Linked DNA regions of Macaca fascicularis. Each later gene encodes a partner of the first gene's protein in a complex. Links are inferred from orthologs where the notes say so. Each region holds a gene or a part of one and is shown on either strand. Other genes may lie near its edges.

What was found.
Region 2: the proteins of TIMM10B (region 1) and TIMM10 are in contact, whole or in part, in a cryo-EM structure (PDB 7CGP), measured with the Homo sapiens proteins. The link is inferred for Macaca fascicularis from reciprocal best matches to the Homo sapiens genes TIMM10B and TIMM10. Residues at the interface, in NP_036324.1 of Homo sapiens: Gln7, Leu11, Leu14, Arg15, Phe17, Leu18, Leu19, Tyr21, Asn22, Arg23, Met24, Thr25, Glu26, Cys28, Phe29, Val33, Pro34, Ser35, Leu36, His37, His38, Arg39, Leu41, Glu46, Leu49, His50, Ala53, Gly54, Ile57, His61; in NP_036588.1 of Homo sapiens: Ala6, Leu9, Leu13, Glu16, Met17, Asp20, Met21, Arg24, Ala28, Lys32, Cys50, Asp52, Arg53, Cys54, Ser56, Lys57, Tyr58, Asp60, Ile61, His62, Glu63, Arg64, Met65, Gly66, Lys68, Leu69, Leu72, Asp76.

Annotation. Positions count from the first base shown.
Region 1 is NC_088388.1:59,598,634-59,602,153, forward strand, and holds TIMM10B (mitochondrial import inner membrane translocase subunit Tim10 B), read right to left. Parts: upstream 2,066-3,520; 5' UTR 2,045-2,065; coding exon 2,009-2,044; exon of another isoform or gene 1,902-2,008; coding exon of another isoform or gene 1,899-1,901; intron 1,808-1,898; coding exon 1,712-1,807; coding exon of another isoform or gene 1,700-1,711; intron 1,521-1,699; coding exon 1,344-1,520; 3' UTR 510-1,343; downstream 1-509. Other genes in the region: ARFIP2 (arfaptin-2), read left to right, coding at 3,146-3,244, 3,496-3,520. UniProt on the Homo sapiens protein: Component of the TIM22 complex, a complex that mediates the import and insertion of multi-pass transmembrane proteins into the mitochondrial inner membrane.
Region 2 is NC_088388.1:16,082,101-16,086,403, reverse strand, and holds TIMM10 (mitochondrial import inner membrane translocase subunit Tim10), read right to left. Parts: upstream 2,806-4,303; 5' UTR 2,697-2,805; intron 2,333-2,696; 5' UTR 2,228-2,332; coding exon 2,157-2,227; intron 642-2,156; coding exon 440-641; 3' UTR 203-439; downstream 1-202.

The DNA.
Region 1 (3,520 bases):
CGGATCTCGAGGTCAGGAGATCGAGACCGTCCTGGCTAACACGGTGAAACCCCCGTCTCTACTAAAAAATACAAAAAACTAGCTGGGCGAGGTGGCGGGTGCCTGTAGTCCCAGCTACTCGGGAGGCTGAGGCAGGAGAATGGCGGGAACCCGGGAGGCGGAGCTTGCAGTGAGCTGAGATCCGGCCACTGCACTCCAGCCTGGGCGACAGAGTGAGACTCCGTCTCAAAAAAAAAAAAAAAAAAAAAAAAAAAAAGAAATCACGGATTGTACTCAATGAGACCAATGTGGGGCAGATGATGGAAAGCTGGAATTAGGAGATTCTAGACAAGCAGTGAAACATTAAGGTAGCATTAAGGAAGTCCCGAAGATTTCGTTTTATCCTTTTTATCATAACCATTGCCATCTACTTCCCCCTTCAGTTTTTCTTCCTCAGATTTCGCTGTATTGCAGAATACGGTCCCCAACTTTCTCCCTTCCCGATTGCCCGTAAGACAAGCACACAGACCTTGGTTCAAAGGTTTTACTTCTCATCCTGAGAAGACTGTACAAACTAAGAAAGTAACAACCTGGGGAAATGGCTGAAGTTCCAAGACTCCAGACTTCTTACAGGTTTCATCTCTCTTCTGTGGCCACTAACTTCTCAAGGAGGCAGTGCCCAAAAGCCCTGTGGTTTTTTGATCCGTTGTACTTCGACAGCTTCTCCTTTCCCTAGATCCAGCAGAATTCTAGACATATAAGACATAGTTCACAAAACAACAGTTATGAACCAACAAATACTTGGTTCACGGTTATAAGCCATTGAAGTCAGTCAGACTTAAGGACAACTAGACAGAGCTCCCATTTTCTGTCATCTGGGCAGGAACCAATCTCCTTTTGTATCAAATGGCCTTCTGGTACATTCTGGAATCTTGCTTCCTCATCTATTTAGTGAGGCTAATACCGCTTACTTGTAGTTTTGTTGTAAACTAAGATAAAGCCTGACATATTACTCATTTTAAAATTGTACACACAGACCCTGCTTTAACCAGATGCCTGCAAATACTCAGGTTTTCCTTCTACATATAGAAGACAACTTATCAGCTGCCAGGGCTGAAGCCAGCAGATATGGCTAAATGACAGAACAAAGGATTATGCCAATAAACTATGCAAAGCTTCCTTGCCCAGAATATAAATCAAACAGAGTAAAAAGCGAGTATATTGGCTCCAGGAAAAGGAGCAAGGACAGCCAGTTTTCAGGCGACCTCGAATTCTCTCCGTTTAGGATTCACCAACCCTAAGGTCCACTGGGTCCTTCAATCTGAGGGTCCATCCAGGGCCTTCCCTCCTGGGGTTGGAGATGGCTAGCTGCCTGATGGAGAGACCCCAGGCTGCTCAGCAGCAACGCCTGGCACAGCCGAGACAGCCTCGTAGTCTGCGATGCGGCGCTGTACCAGGGCAGGCATGAGCTGCACGTAAGCGGCCATGAGGCGGTGGTTGGAATGGATCAGCTTCCCAGCACAGCTGTGCAGACAGGCCTCCTAGAAGGAAGATAGGGTTTAAGCGGAGGACAAAGGTGTCCTGTCGGGCCCGCCTCCGTCCTTCCCCATGCACAGCCTAGGGGTGAGGGTCTGGGAAGGCCAGGACCAGAGGTAGGGGAAGTGGGGTGAGGAGGGAAGCAGTCTACCGCTAAACTCTGTTTGCAGCGTAACCTCCTTACACAGTTCCCCACCTCCTCAGCGTCCAGAGCTCGGTGGTGCAAGCTGGGCACACAACGCTGGAAGCAGAGTTCTGTCATCCGATTGTAGACCAACAGGAAGTCACGCAGCTGGGAGAAAACCGGGACCACGAACTCAGCGATATGTGCCCCACACTTCTACTCAAGGTCGCGCCGCCCAAAGTTTCCCAGGCCCGCGCACCATAACCCGAAGTTTCCAGCCCTCAGATCCCTGGCTCTATGGGGTTTCCGCGATGTGTGCAGGAATGCGAGCTGAACGTCTGGCCCCGAAACGACTTAGTTCTCACTCACGTTTCTCAGTTGCTGTTGCTGCTGCTGCTGCTCCATCACGCCACCGGCGCATGCTCTACGCCACTTCCTTTTCAGCTTCTCGGTGCCGCCCCGGAAGTAACCTCTCGCTGCTCTCGAGAACCAAGCTAGAGTATCGCCCTGCCCCGGCTTCGACGTCACTTCCGCCCTTATAATCTGCGACGTGGCCGGCTTCTTCTGCCCGGAGAGGACGTCACTTCCGCCGAGTCCCTGACCTGCTGCTAGGATCGCGACGGGAACTGGAGCCCGAGGTCCCCGCGCGGCCCGGGCCTGGCGCCCTGAGGGGAAGAGCGGCCCGGCCCGAGGTGAGAGGGACATGCTTGGGCGACGGGAAGTTGAACGCACAAACCTGTCCAGAGGGCAAGATGCCCCGAGCCCTGGGGAAGAATGAGGACACACCTGATGTCCAGGTGTATGGGGGTGGGGGCGGGGACTCACATACCTGGGAGACTGACTGTGGAAGGGATCACCGATATCCTGGTAAAGACAGGCTTTTGCCAGAGACTGGGAACATACACCAACTGATCTAACTAAGGCCTGGTGGGGAGGGCCCAAGGAAGAGGAGTTGTATGAGACGGAGGAGGGGAGACCCCCTGAAGGAAGGGGGAAGAAACACTAAAGGAGTGAGAAAGGCCAAGCAATGGAGAACAAACCTGAATGGGGGGTGAAGACCTGAGCCCTGGAAAGGGTCCATCTCCTGCTCAGCATAAACACGCCTGCATGGAGATAAGTTCTAAGAGAGCTACTTTCCCTCTTCACTGTTGTATTTTCATTGTCACAAATAGTACCTGACACAGAGTAGGCACTCACTAAATGTCTGCTGAATGACTGAATGAGTGTAGAATAATCACCAGAGGCCTGGTGAGGTTGGGGGCTTGTGAGAAGACACCGTGCTTTGGTGTGCCTGTGTACAAATGTGCATTTTGGAGGGGAGAAATACATATACCTGAAGAAAGGAATGATGACCAAACGCTGGGACACTCAAACCCTGGGACAGCCTTTAAAGAAATGACAGAGGAGGCTTCCTTCTTCTAGAGTGCTGGCCAGTGCCCAGAACTTCTGTGTTGGGCTTTGCAGGGTGCTGGGGTGGAGAGTTTTACTCCAATACCTTTCCTAGCCATGACGGACGGGATCCTAGGGAAGGCAGCCACAATGGAGATCCCTATCCACGGGAACGGTGAAGCCAGGCAGCTTCCTGAAGATGATGGGCTGGAGCAGGTGCTTCTGTTTGATTCTTCTAATTGTTTCAATTTAGGAATCCAATTTATAAATCCTGGGTTCTCACCCTCCATTCCAGTAGCCTTCCCCTGAACTTATCTGACTCCCTTAATTTTACATATCATTTTGATTCTGTGCAGACTTCCCTTGTGTAGTGTCTTTATGATGCTTGAATCCAAACTTGTTCCCACCTCCAAAATGCTTCTGCAGTCCCTATGTTCCTGAAGCAACCCCTCTTCTCTGGCCTATAGGACCTCCAGCAAGTGATGGTGTCAG
Region 2 (4,303 bases), about 44 Mb from region 1:
GGGTTTTGCCATGTTGGCCAGGTGGTCTTGAACTCCTGACCTCAAGTGATCCACCCACTTCAGCCTCCCAAAGTGCTGGGATTACAGGCGTGAGCCACTGTGCCTGGCCTGTCCTACTCTTAAACACTACATTAGTCTCCCTCTGCTGGTAGGGGCTGTGTCTGTTTACTCTCAAATGCCACGCACACTGCTTTGCACATAGTAGGTGTCAACAAACTTGTTTTAATATATATATACATACATACATACATACACACAGTCACATTCCAGTGTGACAAATACTCCTTCACCAGGGGACAGCGCTACCACTCCAGGATCTTGAAGACTCGCTACAGAGAGCTTAGGCCTGGCAGTCCTCACAGATGACACCCAACAGGGAGCACTTTTATTAAAGTGGGAAGGGGTGGGGTGTACCCCAGGGTGTATGCTGACACGGACCTCACGCGGGCCCAGAGCTCTGCTGCACCCTCTTCATCAGCTCTTCATCCTGCATAGACAACTCTGTCAACTTTTTGCCCATTCGCTCATGGATGTCCAAGTACTTAGAGACACATCGGTCCAGGCACACAGACTCGCCCTTGGAGAGCTCTGCTTCCTTGTAGTGAGGAGGTACACACTTCCGGTGGCAGGCACTGGTCATTCTGGAGGGAGGGAGGGGCAAGGTCATGTCAGCAGCATCCTGTGACATCCCAGGAACCCTCGACCATTCCAGCCCTGCTATATTGATGTCACCTTCCCCAAGAAAGCAGTGTAAATCCTCAGTTTACACCTCAACCACTGGAAGGTCCTTGCAAGTAGGAAACTTGCCTGAGCCCATGTATATGACTAATTAAGTAGAAACAATTTGTTAAGGACTGGCTATGTGCCAGGCATCATGCTAAGTGCTTTACCTGCATTCTGTTACGCAATGCTTACAATTACCCCAAGAGATACTTATCCCCATTTTACAGACGAGAAAATTAAGGCAAACAGAGGCTCAGTAATTTTTTTTTTTTTTTTTTTTTTTGAGACGGAGTCTCGCTCTGTCGCCCAGACTGGAGTGCAGTGGCGCGATCTCGGCTCACTGCAAGCTCCGCCTCCCGGGTTCACGCCATTCTCCTGCCTCAGCCTCCCAAGTAGCTGGGACTACAGGCGCCCGCCACCACGCCCAGCTAATTTCTTTTTGTATTTTTAGTAGAGACGGGGTTTCACCGTGTTAGCCAGGATGGTCTCGATCTCCTGACCTCGTGATCCACCCGCCTCGGCCTCCCAAAGTGCTGGGATTACAGGCTTGAGCCACCGCGCCCGGCCGAGGCTCAGTAATTTTCTAAGAATCACATAGAGCTGAGATATGAACCCAGGTCATCTGACCTCACAGTCTACACTTAACAATCTTTCTAATTTATAGTCGTCAGGATAAACCAATCAAGAGAGCTTAAGCCAATAAAAATAGCAGACATTTCACTGTTACTAAGTGTTGGGCTTGAGGCTAAGGACTTTCATATATTTTTAGATTTAATATTTATGATGCCCTATGAGGTAGGTATCATTATGTCTTTTTCATAATGAGGAAACCAATTGTCAAACAGTGCAAGTAACATGTCCAAGTATACTGCTGGTGATTGGTGGAGCCAGGATTTGTTCCCAAATGTGCCAAATGGTTATGAGCACTAGTTGCAGAACCAGACTGAGGTGCTAGTTCTGGCATTGTTACCCACCAGCTGCGGACCCTAAGGAAGTTACTTAACCTCTAGCAGCATCAATTTCCTCATTTTAAGATGGGACTAATAAAATTAACCCACTGGATTATTTTGAAGATTAACAAGAGCCTGACACAGAATAAAGGGTTTTAAAATGTTAACTACTAAATGGGCTGGCTATGTGCTATTTATCAAGAGGCAAATACTCAGCTTTTCTTGGAACCTAACCAGAGCCTGGATTGGAGTTTCTCTTCCTGCTTGGCTCCTGCATTGCCAGTTCCATCCCCATCTAAATGCCCAACTCATTCTAGTGACTGCGTCTACATTAGGATCAACCTTGGAGGTGCGTATGGGGAGGGTAAGCATGGGCCTCAGGCTCCCCTACATTCAGGAAGGAATTTGTTGTAAGTCATTCACCTTCGATATGGGTGACCAAGACTTATTTTCCAAGACAGGGTAGAACATAGTTCTCTTTACCTGTTGTACATATCGGCCATCATCTCCACCTCCAGCTCCGCAGCCAGCTGTTGGGCCCTGAGAGGATCCATCTCAGCCTAGCACCGTGGAAGGTATCTCCTTCTGGCCTCCTAATCCTGGGAGCAGACATCACCATCAGCACCCACCGCCGCCGTTCACTCTCCTACCCCTTGGGGCTAGAGGATACAGAGGACTCACAGGGCGCCAGACCACCACGGGCCACTAACCTCAGTAAGATTAACCACCCCATTTCACGGATGTGGAAACTGAGGCCTCGCCCAAGGTCGCACAGGACGTCCATGGCGAGCCTGGAAATCGAGCCCCGGATCTCTGATGCCCCAGTCCCTGGAGGTCACCTCTATTCAGAAGATCGAGGACCGAGGCAGAACGCTCTAACCCATAAGCCTGAACCTCCAGGGCCCTGGGAATGAGATCGTACGCTGAACACAGGCGACCGGGACGCAGCCTAAAGGCTGCGCCTCTGAAATGGCGACGCCATAATCAGAGCCACATTGAATTCAGAGGTCATGGGTCACTCACCACTGCCTGGGACGGATCGCAATGCTCACGGAGACCCCAACTTCTGACAAAAACTATAACGTTACCCGCCTCTCCAGAAGGCTCCAGCGGAAGCACGTGGGTTACTTCCGGGAGGGAAGTCCCGCCTCTCCTTTGATTCAAACTCGCTTCCGGAACTAAATACCAACGAGACGGCGCCGGGAACTCGGCGATCCTAGAGAGGGAGCGGCCGGCGCCGGGCGAAGAGGAAGGCGACTTGCCAGTGCTAGAGGGGACGCCAAAGTACCATAGAGGCTTGGGCGGGGTGCAGAGCGTCTGCAGCCCGCTTACAATTCAAGTCCCTTGGGATGTCACAGAGCCGCTTCAGTTTATTGGTTCTGTAGGAAGAGGCGTGGTGACAGATATCAGTGAATCTCATCCCAGTTCCGGACAGCCGACTCCTGAGCGTAAATCAGGCGTGGAGAAGGAAGAACGCCCCCAAACAGCGATTCTGTTTTTGTTTCGCGTTAAAATCCCTGGAACGTTTTTAAACGTCCCAGTGCCCAGGACTCACCTCATTTCAATTAAATCAGAATCTCTGGGAGTAGGACCCAGGCATCAATACAATTTAAAATTCCCCAGGTGATTCGTATGTACAGCCAAATTTGAGAAGCAGTGCTCCATGGGACGTTGTGCGATTACTACTGTGTGTAGGTCACACTAAGCCCCTTCTGGTGTTGCAACGATAAGCGAGATAGGCTTCCTGCTCGTAGAAAGACAAGACGTGTAAAATATGTTTTCTTCAACAGTCAGAGGTCCTGAGCCACAAAGAGATTAATAAAAGCAATTTCGGCTGCCACCGAGGCTAATCATGGGTGAGGGAGAAGGAGGGTACTGGTGAACTTTTCAACTTTCAAGACTTAATGTGTTCTTCAAACTGCACCATTCACTCATTCCCCACTAAAAAGAAGGAAACAACACTCAGTCCCTTGATTTGTCACACAATTTCCTAGTAAAATAAATTTACAAGATGTAAATTGATGACGCAAGGGCACATTGCTCATTGGAAAAGGTGGGCTAGACATTTTATATGTGTGGTCATCATATGCTTCCCTAATTGTCCAAGACCATCCTGATTTTAAACAATCGACCTTTCTGCTTTGAAGACTCATCTTTGTCAAACCTTGTGCCCTGATTTTTAAAGATTGAGGTATAATATTCATAAAGTGCATAAAATACACGAATCTCAAGCTTAATTAAATATATATGTGTATATATACATTTGTATAACCACCACCCAGATCAAGATATAAAATACTTCCTGCACCCCAAAAAGTTATCTTGTGTTTCTTCCCCATCAATACTCCCTCTTGAAGTTAACCACTATTCTGACCTCTATCACCATCAATTCGTTTTCCTTGTTCTTGAACTTCATGTAAATGGAATTACACATTATTTTCTATTTTGTGCCTGACGTCTTTAGCTCAATGTACCTGTAAGGTTTCCTCCATATTGTTGTGTGCATCTGTTATTCCTTCTGTTTTATTGCTGTCTAGTGTTTGATTGTATGAGCATGCCACAATTCATTTATCCATTCTCCTGTTGATGGATGTTTGGATTGTTTCCAGTTTTTGCCTACTATGCAGTAA